Xenopus tropicalis: one gene and its partners. The protein of the gene in region 3 binds, or shares a complex with, the protein of the main gene of each other region. Links are inferred from orthologs where the notes say so. Each region holds a gene or a part of one and is shown on either strand. Other genes may lie near its edges. The genes, in order: srsf1, pa2g4 and ddx5.

Region 1 (4,328 bases), on a different chromosome or scaffold from region 3:
CAATATTTACTGATATATATATATATATATATATATATATATATATTCCAGTTTGGCGAGATTCTTTAATAGGTCACTCTGCATAATATAAACTATCTGTTGGTTAAGTATTCATTCTGGGGGTATAGTTTTTCTTTAAAGAGATGAAATTCTGAGCGCTATTTCTCTCTCTACAATACCGATGTGGGGGGAAGCATCAACTTGCACACCTATTCATGACAGTACCCCTTGCCCCCTTTGTTCCACTGTCGGAAGTGACCTCTCAAAAGCTATATTAAATTTGTTCAAAGAAATTTTTGTTTGCTAAAAGGCATACATTTTCGAGTATTTTTCTGTTATGGATTTTTTTTACATTCCAGCATCAGTTTCTTAAATACTTTTGCACTTTTTGAAGTGCTTTTCCACTTCAGCCCAGGGTTGCACTCCCTACTCTGTAAAGCGCTGGGCAATATATAAATGTACGTATAACTTTATTTATAAAGCGTTAGAAGGGTACACAGCGCTATACAATCTTACAATATACACAATTACACACAGGGAGGACAACTGTTATAATAAATACAAGAAGTATAAATACACAGATTGAGCGCCATGTGGTGTGAGAGAGTAGGAAGGAGGTCCCTGCCCCATAGAGCTTACAATTTCACTGCCCAATCTAAGCTCGACTAAAATAAAACAAACAAATATGCACAAGGCCCAAACAGGAGTGTAATGTAAGGCATGTATTTATTATCAACACATAAATATTTGTAGAGTGTAAGCTCTTTTGGGCAGGGCCCTCTTCACCTCTTGTATCGGTTATTGATTGCTTTATATGCTACTCTGTATGTCCAATGTATAAAACCCTTTTATTGTACAGCGCTGCAGAATATGTTGGCGCTTTATAAATAAATGTTAATAATAATAAATAGGACAAAGTCTTCCCAACCTTGTTTGCAATATTACCCTGACAGCAGTTACAAAGTATTGAATTGCAGTGCTACTTTAATGGGGAAACCATTGAGAGTGGACCACAGAGACCTTATCCGCACACCCTAACACTCCAAAAAAAATTTTGTACGGTGCACACTGCTAGAGGGATCGGCACCCTCCAAATACACTGTAACAACAAAAAAAGCAATTGGCACTCAGGACTACAAACAAGGGTAAAACCCTTTTAAAAGTTTTATTGCGGAAACCATTGAGAGCACACCTGTAGTTAATGATTTTCATACTCATAATGAATGTCACTGCAGATAAAGAGCTAACAGCCTCCGACCATGGTTCTATAATACAAAACCACCTAACAACAGCCATGGCGCACGACGAGTAACAAAACATTTTTCAAACAACACCCACTGCCCTCCCCCACTATGGGCGCGCATTTCCTGGACGGACGTGACGTCAAGCACAGGGTATAGAAAGCCCCCCTATCACATACAGAGAAGCAGCTTGAGCTCAGGTTTCTAGTATAAATATTACCTCAGTGAATAGATTCTTTCTTAGGGCCGTAATTGGCACATAGCTTTAGGAACATTGCATCGTGAAGACGTGGAAACGAGAGGCTCTATATTGTCTCGGCGTAAGATTACCTTTGTTGAGGACGCACCACTGCGAGTTCTTAGTATCCTTGCGCGGCTAAAGCAAGGGAGGAAGTAACTCCGCCATCTTGTCCAAGCTCTGAAGCGCGCATCGAAGGTCTGTTTGGCTTCCAACTCCATTTCTTTTTCTTCTCAATCCGTCTCCCTTTAAATCCATCAAGCTGGATATGTCAGGGGGCGGCGTGATTAGGGGGCCGGCGGGTAACAACGATTGCCGTATCTATGTTGGCAATCTGCCGCCAGACATCCGCACCAAGGACATTGAGGACGTTTTCTACAAGTATGGGGCCATTCGGGACATAGACCTAAAGAACCGCAGAGGGGGCCCGCCATTCGCCTTTGTGGAATTCGAAGATCCAAGGTAATCCCTGTGTAAATGTTTTTGCTTTGGCCTATCGTGCTAATGGGCTCGCCTAGTGTTAACTGGTGAATAACTACAATATACCTTGAGTGTATCCGGGGGCGGGGTGGTGGTACTGCGACTTTATTTCTGCTGTAGTTGATAAAATGTCGTCCGCTGTTGTATTAGAGTTTATATATAGTCGAGGAGGCCAGTGAGGGGGGGAATTAGGCCTGATTATGGTGCAGGTTATGTTTCAACATCGGTGCGTTGTATCATTATTCAAGTTAATATATTTAGCCTATAATCCCTACAGAGTGGCGCCAGAATGAGGTATTATACACTCATTGTGTATCGCCATTAGCACGTGTAAATCCCTATTTATTACCGCCTTTAGGCAACAGCGCCCCCTGTGTGTGGGACCGAATAGCGCTTCCGCTCTTTGTTCTGCAGCCCTGCACCATGCTTACTAGTGTGTTAAGGGAAGGCATTCTAACAAGCAAATGTGCTTTGGGTTATTTATTGACCTGTTTGCTTTAAAGCCGCTGCCTCATGTCTCTGCTATAAAGCATGCAATTAGGCTCACTGCACTTATTCAACCAGAACTCCTAACACCTTTTATGTAGGCTGCTTGGAGAAGTGCAGTATTGATATTCAATAGCAACACTACAAAATGAATAATGGGTGTTTAAGCATCTGCACTATATGCACATATGTAAAGTATTGGTGAAAATGTACTGTTTAAATGTAAATACAAAAGCTTTTGTGTAGTCATGGGGGCAGCCATTCATGTCTAAAAGACTGTTAAGATACAATGGCTTGCTTACACAGAATTAATCTGGGGTCATGTGTCGTTTGTAGCTCTATACATGACTGTAATAAAGTTTTCTCATTTACAGCCAAGAAAGTTTTCCAGGATATGTAATTACCATTGTAGGTGAATATTCTCTTCTTAACCTGGCATTCTTTAACTAAAGCAATTCTTACCTTGGTTTCTCTTAGGGATGCAGAAGATGCTGTCTATGGTAGAGATGGCTATGATTATGATGGCTATCGCTTGCGTGTTGAGTTTCCAAGAAGTGGGCGAGGAGCTGGAGGCAGAGGTGGTGGTGGTGGTGGCGGCGGCGGAGGAGGAGGTGGTGGAGGCGGCGGCGGCGGTGGTGGTGGTGGCGGCGGAGGAGGAGCTCCCCGAGGGAGATATGGACCTCCATCAAGACGTTCAGAATACAGAGTGGTTGTGTCAGGTAAGAGTTCTATCAGGTGGCAGGTTTAAAAACCAAAGTAAAAACATCAGTTGCAAAGTTTTAGAGGAATAATGCCCATCAGGTTTTTACAAGCAGCGTTATTTCACATGTATACAATAATGAGTTGGACACAGTTATGCATACATTCTAAAGTATTATGCATTCTATACCAGTGGATATGACTGACCATTAATGTATACAAACAGAACTACTAGTATATCTCCCTTTAACTTTAGTTCAGTTAACGGCTTGCATCAGCTTAACAGAACTTAAGCAACTCTCTGCTTGGTCCTTGCAAGGTAGATAATTGTATTACAGTTCACACACAATTCTCCTGCATAATGGACTTCAAACCATGCAGTCACAAGAAAAGGGAAGGATAGGGTATTGTCTTCAAACAAGATATTAAATGGCCCTGTCTGGTTGCTCAGGATGCTATCTGGACTATGAAAACTTGCACATGTTGCTATGTTACCTTCAGTTCAAACATGAAGCACTGCAACAAATTTACCTTTAAAACGTACTAAATGTAAACCCCTGAGTTATTTTAGCAGAATTGGGCTGTTGTGAGTCTCGCTGGAAGCATGGTTCAGATTAAAACAATGGGTTTTCCCCAGGATGCTGTGTTCATTTAAGCAATACAGCTGTCTTTGGACTGTTTTAATGCTCCATGCATTGCTGTATAACCAGCATAGATACCTACTCTTGGAATTTTGGCACTAGAAGTTCATAAACCATTTTAAATTTCCACCATTTGCATGCTTTTAATTATGTATAAAACTGCTTTTGATACCAAATTTGACACTCTGATAACTTTATATTTCTAGGGTTGCCTCCAAGTGGCAGCTGGCAGGATTTAAAGGATCACATGCGTGAAGCAGGTGATGTATGTTATGCCGATGTGTTCCGAGATGGTACTGGAGTTGTGGAGTTTGTGAGGAAAGAAGATATGACATATGCAGTACGGAAGCTGGATAACACTAAATTTAGGTCTCATGAGGTAAATACTAAATTGTTTAGTAGTTTGTGTTAAGTTTTTCTCTACCTATTGTGACTAGCAGTATCTGTTTTACATGACCTCTGAAGCCAATAGTGATGTTGGCCAAATACATAAGGTGCCAAAAGATATGGGAATTTTAAATTTTCTGTATAATGTACTATAGT
Region 2 (3,605 bases), on a different chromosome or scaffold from region 3:
GAGTGTTCCGTTTCTGTGTAACAATATCTGTATAGAAAGAGGGGCTGAAAGACTGCTTTGATGCCTGCTTTTATTTTTCTTTTGTTTTATCGTTTATATATATATATACTTTTGGTTTAGTCTGAAGAGAATTCCAAAATATGTCTTTAAATGTCCAAGTTTGCATCCAAAGAGAAAGTGGGGCTCCCACATCCAAACGCACACTTGGCTGCCCGGACTGCACATGTTTTTTAAATTTTTTTTTTATTTTTTTCTTTGTTTCAATTCATTTCAATTGTCAGGATAAAGAAGGGAGAGAGGCAAAAATAACGCAAGTACTAAAAATATTAACTGGCAGGTCAAAGTCAGACACCTCAGAGAAAAGCCTCTGTTCACTCTGTGCCTTCATTTTCTTCAGCAGTGGCATTTTCAGCATTTTTTGACGCCTGCAATATACAAAAATGAGTTAAACAAAACTGCATTCATTTTGCATAATCTACAAAAATCGGAAAAAAAACACTTTTGGTAAAGCATTCTCTCCTGACTTCCTTTGATTCAGAACTGGCACCTGGTAGGTGCTACTTGGCCATACAAGTAGATGGCCAAACCAGGCAGATAATGCAAAAATTCACCTATGCATGGCTGCCTATCATTTTTCTCATTTAAAGGGGTTGTTCACCTTTCAGTTAACTTTTAATATGATTTAGAGGGTAATATTCAGAGACAATTTGCAATTGGTCTTAATTTATTTTTATTAGTTGTTCTATTTTTGTTTGACAGCTCTCCAGTTTGGAGTTTCAGCATCTATCTGGTTGCTAGGGTCCAAATTACCTTAGCAACCAGGGAGTGATATGAATCAGAATCTGGTATATTAATAGGAGAGGACTTGAATAGAAAAATAAGTAATAAAAAGTAACAATAAAACTGTAGCCTTAAAGAGCAATAGTTTTTTGCCTGCTGGGCCCCATTTGAAAGCTGCAAAAAGTTAAAAGGCAGCAAATAATTCAAAACCTAATAAAAAAAAAAATTAAGACCAACTGGAAAGTTGCTTAGAACTGCCCATTTTACATTATACTAAAAGTTAACTTAAAGGGGAACCACCCCTTTAATGGTACAATTAACTACATAGTACAGATGAGCACTCTCATCCTAAATGACAACTACACATTCCCACCTTCTCACAAACAACCCAACCAACATGGAGATTCCTTAGATTGTGTATGCTTTAAATGGTCTAAAATCCCTAAAATTAACAATTGTAATATAGAAACAACCAGACAATGATTTTCTATTAAAGGAGAAGGAAAGGCTACGTTACTTGGGGGTGCCAAAATGTTGGGCTGGTGCTGTTTTCTCCTAACAGGGGCACCAGCCCGTGGGAAAAGGTAAGCTATTAAAGTCGCTTGGGGGCGCCTAACATTTTTAAACAATACATCTGCCCAGTTTTGCTTAGGTTGAACTGTTTAAGCTTATGGAGTTAAATGTGTAAAAAACGTCGAGAAAATTTGCCACACATCGCTGTGTAAAAAACCGCGTAGTTTTTTTTACGCGTTTCTCTTCCGCTGGAACGAATGTAAAATAGCGGCGTAAAATCTGGCATTAGGACGTCGATCTTCTCTGTTTACACAGCTTTTTCAGCAAATTTGTTTTACACAGCTTAATATATATGCCCCTAAGTCTCCTGCGCTTGTATAATTCATGGCAAAGAAGTGCAGTCCTGAAAGCAAAGACAATACCTTCTTTTTCTTCTTTTTCTGGGTTTTCCGACTTGCTGAACTTTGCAGAAGTGCCTGTAAGCAATACCAGTAATTTCATATTAGATCTACGTTTTGTGGATATGTTTTTATAAATAAGACATTTCTTCGTTAATAAAAAAAAGATAACAAATAACCTCTATGGAATCACTGCATTTTGCGTACAGAAAGCACTATCAGTTAAATGATCCTGTCCCAGAGGTTTTACTGCAAAAATGTCAAATCAACAGTAAATATATAAAGTGATAAAGTCTCACCCACCTTCAACTCGGAATCTTGCACCTCAAGCTCAGATTTGTACATATCAGGTTCAAAGGGGCCGCTAGTTATCCTCATAGGACCATTGGGCATTAAGAGAACAGTGAACTTGAACTGAGCTACAAATTCGCCTAGGATTAAAAAAACAAAAAAAACATTGCAAGTTAAAACAAGCAATGCTTTAACTGTGTTATTCCAGAAAAATTATCTAAAGATATCAGTGTTACAATATAAATATTAAAACACACACACCATACAAAAAGTTTCTCATTCTAAACTTAAAAAATACACCATAAAAATCATGACAGAATCCCTTCATATCTAAATTACACAGCTTACTTTCAAATAATGCACCGTTTTTTAGTCGTAATATTGGTGCCATCTCAGTGCATTGTGCCGGAGTCTGAGCTTTCAGAAGGAGCCAGCGCTACACATTAGAACTGCTTTCAGGTAGCCTACTGTTTTTCCTAATCAACATACTGTCAATACAACCCAAGCTGCAAAATAAGAAAACAGAGTTTCGGTGCTATACTTAAGTCTTCCACTAGGTGGGCAAGTGAACTTGTTTAGCAATGCAAACAATTTCTGATGTAATTTAATCTCTATCATGCTAAAATCTTCTATAGCCTTCAGGAAAACTGCTTTGGAAGGGAAATGGGTCTAGGGTGTCAAAAATCATTGCCTCTCTTTGCATTTTATGTATTTGGGGCTTAAGTTCCCACTGCATGTAATGTATTTGTGATGCCACTACCCAGTGTCTCACTTTATTTAATGTATTTTGGGTGCCACTACTTCTGCCCCACTATATAATGCATTTAGGATCTGGAGTTATTATTTTCAGAAGTCAATATATCATTTTTTACATTTATGTTCATATTGTGTGTATATTTTATATACATCTCTATATTCTTTACTGTACAAAGCTAATTGAGACTAATGACACACGTCACTGTATTTTAGCTGGCAGAGAAATGACTGAAGTCACCCTAAATTACTGGGAGGGCAGTTTTGCCTTTTTACTCACTTGATAACATTTCAGATCACCAGCAGTGCTACTAGCCAATGGAGCTCCTAACAGTTCTGGCAGCTGAAAAGTGTGACTGAAGTGAATCTGTTTGCGCTTTTAAAAAATGGACTTCAGTTTGCATTTATTTGGACTTTTTTTTTTATTTAGTAAAATATAAATACAGGTATGGGATCTCTTTAACAGAAACCCATTATCTAGAAAGTAAATTATGGACAAGACATCTCCGTTACAGTCCATTATAAAAAAAACATAATAACAATAATACAGGACTCTTGATGGTAAGTAAGATGAATGGATCCATATTGGTAATAAAACAATTCTATTGGGTTTATTCACTGTTCCAATAATTTTTAGCAGACTTAAGGTATACCGATCCATATTACATGGTGATGCTATACCTATGCTGTATTTTTGTTCACATCTTGCTTTCTTTTTATGACTGTTCTGATGATTGATCTTAAAGTTTTAAAGTCTTGTTCGTATCATTGTTATTTTTAGATTGAAAGGAACACAACCTTCAATATCCTTTCCATTAGGTCCATTTCCATTAAGCAAGGGGCATTGCCTGTCACTAGGAATGTAATCAA
Region 3 (4,399 bases):
GTGGGAGGAATTGGCAGGGACACAGTGGGGGAGGAATTGGCAGGGACACAGTGGGGAGGAAGTGGCAGGGACACAGTGGGGAGGAATTGCAGGGACACAGTGGGGAGGAAGTGGCAGGGACACAGTGGGGGAGAATTGGCAGGGACACAGTGGGGGAGGAAGTGGCAGGGACACAGTGGGGAGGAAGTGCAGGGACACAGTGGGGAGGAAGTGGCAGGGACACAGTGGGGAGGAATTGGCAGGGACAGAGTGGGGAAGGAATTGGCAGGGACACAGTGGGGGGAATTTGCAGGGACACAGTGGGGAGGAATTGGCAGGGACAGAGTGGGAAGAATTGGCAGGGACACAGTGGGGAGGGGAATTGGCAGGGACACAGTGGGGAGGAATTGGCAGGGGCACAGTGGGAGAAGTGGCAGGGACACAGTGGGGAGAGATTGGCAGGGGCACAGTGGGGGAGGAAGTGGCAGGGGACACAGTGGGGAGGAAGTGCAGGGACACAGTGGGGAGGAATTGGCAGGGACACAGTGGGGAGGAATTGGCAGGGCACAGTGGGGAGGAATTGGCAGGACACAGTGGGGAGGAAGTGGCAGGGACACAGTGGGGAGGAATTGGCAGGGCACAGTGGGGAGAAGTGGAGGGCAGGCAGTGGGGAGGAAGTGGCAGGGACACAGTGGGGAGGAAGTGGCAGGGACACAGTGGGGAGGAAGTGGCAGGGGCACAGTGGGGAGGAAGTGGCAGGGGCACAGTGGGGAGGAAGTGGCAGGGACACAGTGGGGAGGAATTGGCAGGGACACAGTGGGGAGGAAGTGGCAGGGACACAGTGGGGAGGAAGTGGCAGGGACACAGTGGGGAGGAAGTGGCAGGGACACAGTGGGGAGGAAGTGGCAGGGACACAGTGGGGAGGAATTGGCAGGGCTCCTCAGCAGTAGGAACAAAACCTTGAGCGGGAAGGCTCAAGCACTTACTAATGGGGACTGTATGTAGCCCGTATATGTATGAGGCAATATAGTTGTACCCATTGGGTGTGCCTGGCGGGGCTAATAAGGGAACACAGCCTTACTGGCCTTGCCTCATCCCACGCAACACACACTGACTAACATGAGCCACAGATAATAAAATTCCGGGAAAAGGCGCATTGCCGGTCACATGGTCACATCGCTTAGTCTCTGCCGCCATCTTTACTTTGGGCCGGTGTCCCGCTACCAGTACGTGGTCGATATCCCGCTACAAAAGCGGGAGCAGCCGCTGCCCCACGCTCACGGTTCAGTTTGCAATATCGTTGGGGCGGAAGCCAGGAAAAAGGTTAACACCGAGCGGCTGGTCGGTTTTTCTACTTGTTGGACAGGTTTCCCTGAAGCAATATGGCGGCGGTAGGTCAAGGCCCCGCCCCGCGGAGGAATATGGTGACGTCAGTTGCCGGCCGGCCTTATATAAGGTGTGTGCGCGCTGCGTGTTACTTCCCTTCCTGCCGAGCCCTCCCGTCTGTACAGCCGCTCCCGGAACGCCCTTTGTGTAACGCCATGCCCGGATTCAACGACAGGGACCGCGCCCGGGACAGGGGGTACGTACTCGGGGGTCTCCCCGTGAGGTGCCGGCAGCTTCTGGCAGAGGCCAGTGGGGAGTTTGTTTGGGCTTAATGTTTCCGCCCGATGGCGGCTGGTACGGTAGGTAGGCATTATGGGATGTGTGTGTGTGGGGGGCCCATGAGTAACGGGGCTTCCGAGCGATGGATTGTATTGTTCGGCTCCCGGGAGGCGGGGCTCGGCGAGACAAGATGGCGGAGGCACCAGTTGCGGCTCTTTGTCTCTGCACAAAATGGCGGCGGGGGGGGGAAGGGCTCTCCTTCTATTGCCTTGTCTGGCGCTTGTACTGCCCTCCGTACTTGTACTGCCCTCACTCCCTGCCGCCTCCCCGCCGCCTCACTCCCCTCTCCCCGGCCGCCTCACTCCCCTCTCCCCGGCCGCCTCACTCCCCTCTCCCCGGGGCCGCCTCACTCCCCTCTCCCCGGGGCCGCCTCACTCCCCTCTCCCCCGGGCCGCCTCACTCCCCTCTCCCCCGGGGCCGCCTCACTCCCCTCTCCCCCGGGGCCGCCTCACTCCCCTCTCCCCGGGGCCGCCTCACTCCCCTCTCCCTGCCGCTTTATTCTTTTATCTTCCTTTGTCGCTATTTATCCTGGCAGCTGTTTATCTACCCGGGTGTATTCCCCTGGTACTTCCCCCATAGCAACTGCCCTATTGTGTGGCATCTCTATCTGCCTGGGTATATTCCCATAGCAACTATCCTATTGTGTTGCACCTTCTTGTGCTATCTGCCTGGGTATATTCCTTTGGTACTGCTCCCATAGTACCTGCCCTATTGTGTGGCCTCTGTCTGCCTGGGTATATTCCCATAGCACCTGCCCTATTGTGTGGCCTCTGTCTGCCTGGGTATATTCCCATAGCAACTGCCCTATTGTGTGGCATCTGTCTGCCTGGGTATATTCCCATAGTACCTGCCCTATTGTGTGGCCTCTGTCTGCCTGGGTATATTCCCATAGCAACTGCCCTATTGTGTGGCATCTGTCTGCCTGGGTATATTCCCATAGTACCTGCCCTATTGTGTGGCATCTGTCTGCCTGGGTATATTCCCATAGTACCTGTCCTATTGTGTGGCATCTGTCTGCCTGGGTATATTCCCATAGTACCTGCCCTATTGTGTGGCATCTGTCTGCCTGGGTATATTCCCATAGTACCTGCCCTATTGTGTGGCATCTGTCTGCCTGGGTATATTCCCATAGTACCTGCCCTATTGTGTGGCATCTGTCTGCCTGGGTATATTCCCATAGTACCTGTCCTATTGTGTGGCATCTGTCTGCCTGGGTATATTCCCATAGTACCTGTCCTATTGTGTGGCATCTGTCTGCCTGGGTATATTCCCATAGTACCTGCCCTATTGTGTGGCATCTGTCTGCCTGGGTATATTCCCATAGTACCTGTCCTATTGTGTGGCATCTGTCTGCCTGGGTATATTCCCATAGTACCTGCCCTATTGTGTGGCATCTGTCTGCCTGGGTATATTCCCATAGTACCTGCCCTATTGTGTGGCACGCTGCTGGCATATCTGTGTAGTGTCCCCTGGGTATGATCAGTCTGCCTGTAACCAGGAACAAGGTGTACTTGCAGAATATCCCTGCTGGGTTTATAGACTCTCCTACAGTTGCCCCATGCTGGGGCAGAGCTCTCACCTAGCAGTACCTGCAGTCTGGGTGCAACTGCTCCTTGCACTGCTGATTAGGCAACCACTTGGCACCTCCCTCTGTCGGTTTATGTAACACTGGCACGGCATGCCCTCAGGGAACCTACTTGGCATATACCCAGCACAGTTCAGTGGCCATTTTGCATAGGCCTCTCTCCCCTGGGGTTCTGCGCAGTAATGGGAAGGAAGGTGATGCTTCTAACTTAAAAACAAATTATCATTTTCCTGATGGCTTTTCTGGGTCTGATTATGGGCCTAGTGAGGTGCCAGGATGGAATCCTGTAAAGGACCAGGACTGGCATTGGCTGCACTAAAAATAAATGCTTTTTTCTGGCAGTGCCCATTTGTTGTGCCTGCTCATGGAATAGCTGAGGGCCGCACCTCTGTTAAATATACTGCCTGCCAGATATGTGTTGCATCTGATCAGTGTGTGCTGTCTCTGCTCTAAAGCTGGCCACACGTGGTCGCACGAAAGATCGTTCCAACCCTCCACTGACGTTCAGGGCTGAATCGTCCGATAGAGGTAGAAACAATAGGATTTCTGCAGATTCAGCCGTGAAAATAGATTTTGCTCAGGTGTCTTTAATGGAGCCTCCTGCGATCTTGCCATACACGCACCGAATATAAACAAGGTTGGTGTGTGTATGGCCAACTTTACTCTGGGGCTGTCTGAGAGTTGGCTTTGGAGCCCAGGCTTCTCTTTGCCAATGGTGGGATCTCCCCCTAAAGCAGAGTAGTTTGTAGCTTCCTGTGTATTCTTAGTGACTGCATATGAATGGCCCCTTGCATATCGGAGAGCATTGTCCTGCTCTGCATGGCCATTGTCAGTAGGGCAGTACCAAGCCAGGAGTCTGCTTTGTCGCCCAGTTGGTTCTTATTGTTTGCATTGACCCTTTTGTCTTATATTCAGATTTGGAGGTGGTCCTCGCTTTGGGGGAAACCGAGGTGGTACATCTGGCAAATATGGAAACCCTGGGGAGCGGCTTATGAAGAAGAAATGGAACCTGGATGAACTGCCCAAATTTGAGAAGAATTTCTATCAAGAACATCCAGATGTTGTGAGACGGACACCGGTGAGTTTGCTGCCTGATTGGGATGAACCAGCTTGGCACTGGGTACCTCTCACAGCTATCTGCACATTAGGAAGGCTTCTTATTGTATGTTT

The links.
Region 1: ddx5 (region 3) and srsf1 share a complex: the UniProt entries of both Homo sapiens proteins name them as parts of the ribonucleoprotein complex. The link is inferred for Xenopus tropicalis from reciprocal best matches to the Homo sapiens genes DDX5 and SRSF1.
Region 2: ddx5 (region 3) and pa2g4 share a complex: the UniProt entries of both Homo sapiens proteins name them as parts of the ribonucleoprotein complex. The link is inferred for Xenopus tropicalis from reciprocal best matches to the Homo sapiens genes DDX5 and PA2G4.

The regions. Positions count from the first base shown.
Region 1 is NC_030678.2:76,103,590-76,107,917, forward strand, and holds the start of srsf1 (serine/arginine-rich splicing factor 1), read left to right. Parts: upstream 1-1,493; 5' UTR 1,494-1,747; coding exon 1,748-1,941; intron 1,942-2,922; coding exon 2,923-3,164; intron 3,165-3,991; coding exon 3,992-4,164; intron 4,165-4,328. UniProt on the Homo sapiens protein: Plays a role in preventing exon skipping, ensuring the accuracy of splicing and regulating alternative splicing.
Region 2 is NC_030678.2:137,647,902-137,651,506, forward strand, and holds the end of pa2g4 (proliferation-associated protein 2G4), read right to left. Parts: intron 2,123-3,605; coding exon 1,995-2,122; intron 1,770-1,994; coding exon 1,716-1,769; intron 426-1,715; coding exon 372-425; 3' UTR 227-371; downstream 1-226. UniProt on the Homo sapiens protein: May play a role in a ERBB3-regulated signal transduction pathway. Seems be involved in growth regulation. Acts a corepressor of the androgen receptor (AR) and is regulated by the ERBB3 ligand neuregulin-1/heregulin (HRG).
Region 3 is NC_030686.2:51,533,061-51,537,459, forward strand, and holds the start of ddx5 (probable ATP-dependent RNA helicase DDX5), read left to right. Parts: upstream 1-1,502; 5' UTR 1,503-1,520; coding exon 1,521-1,561; intron 1,562-4,144; coding exon 4,145-4,307; intron 4,308-4,399. UniProt on the Homo sapiens protein: Involved in the alternative regulation of pre-mRNA splicing; its RNA helicase activity is necessary for increasing tau exon 10 inclusion and occurs in a RBM4-dependent manner. Binds to the tau pre-mRNA in the stem-loop region downstream of exon 10.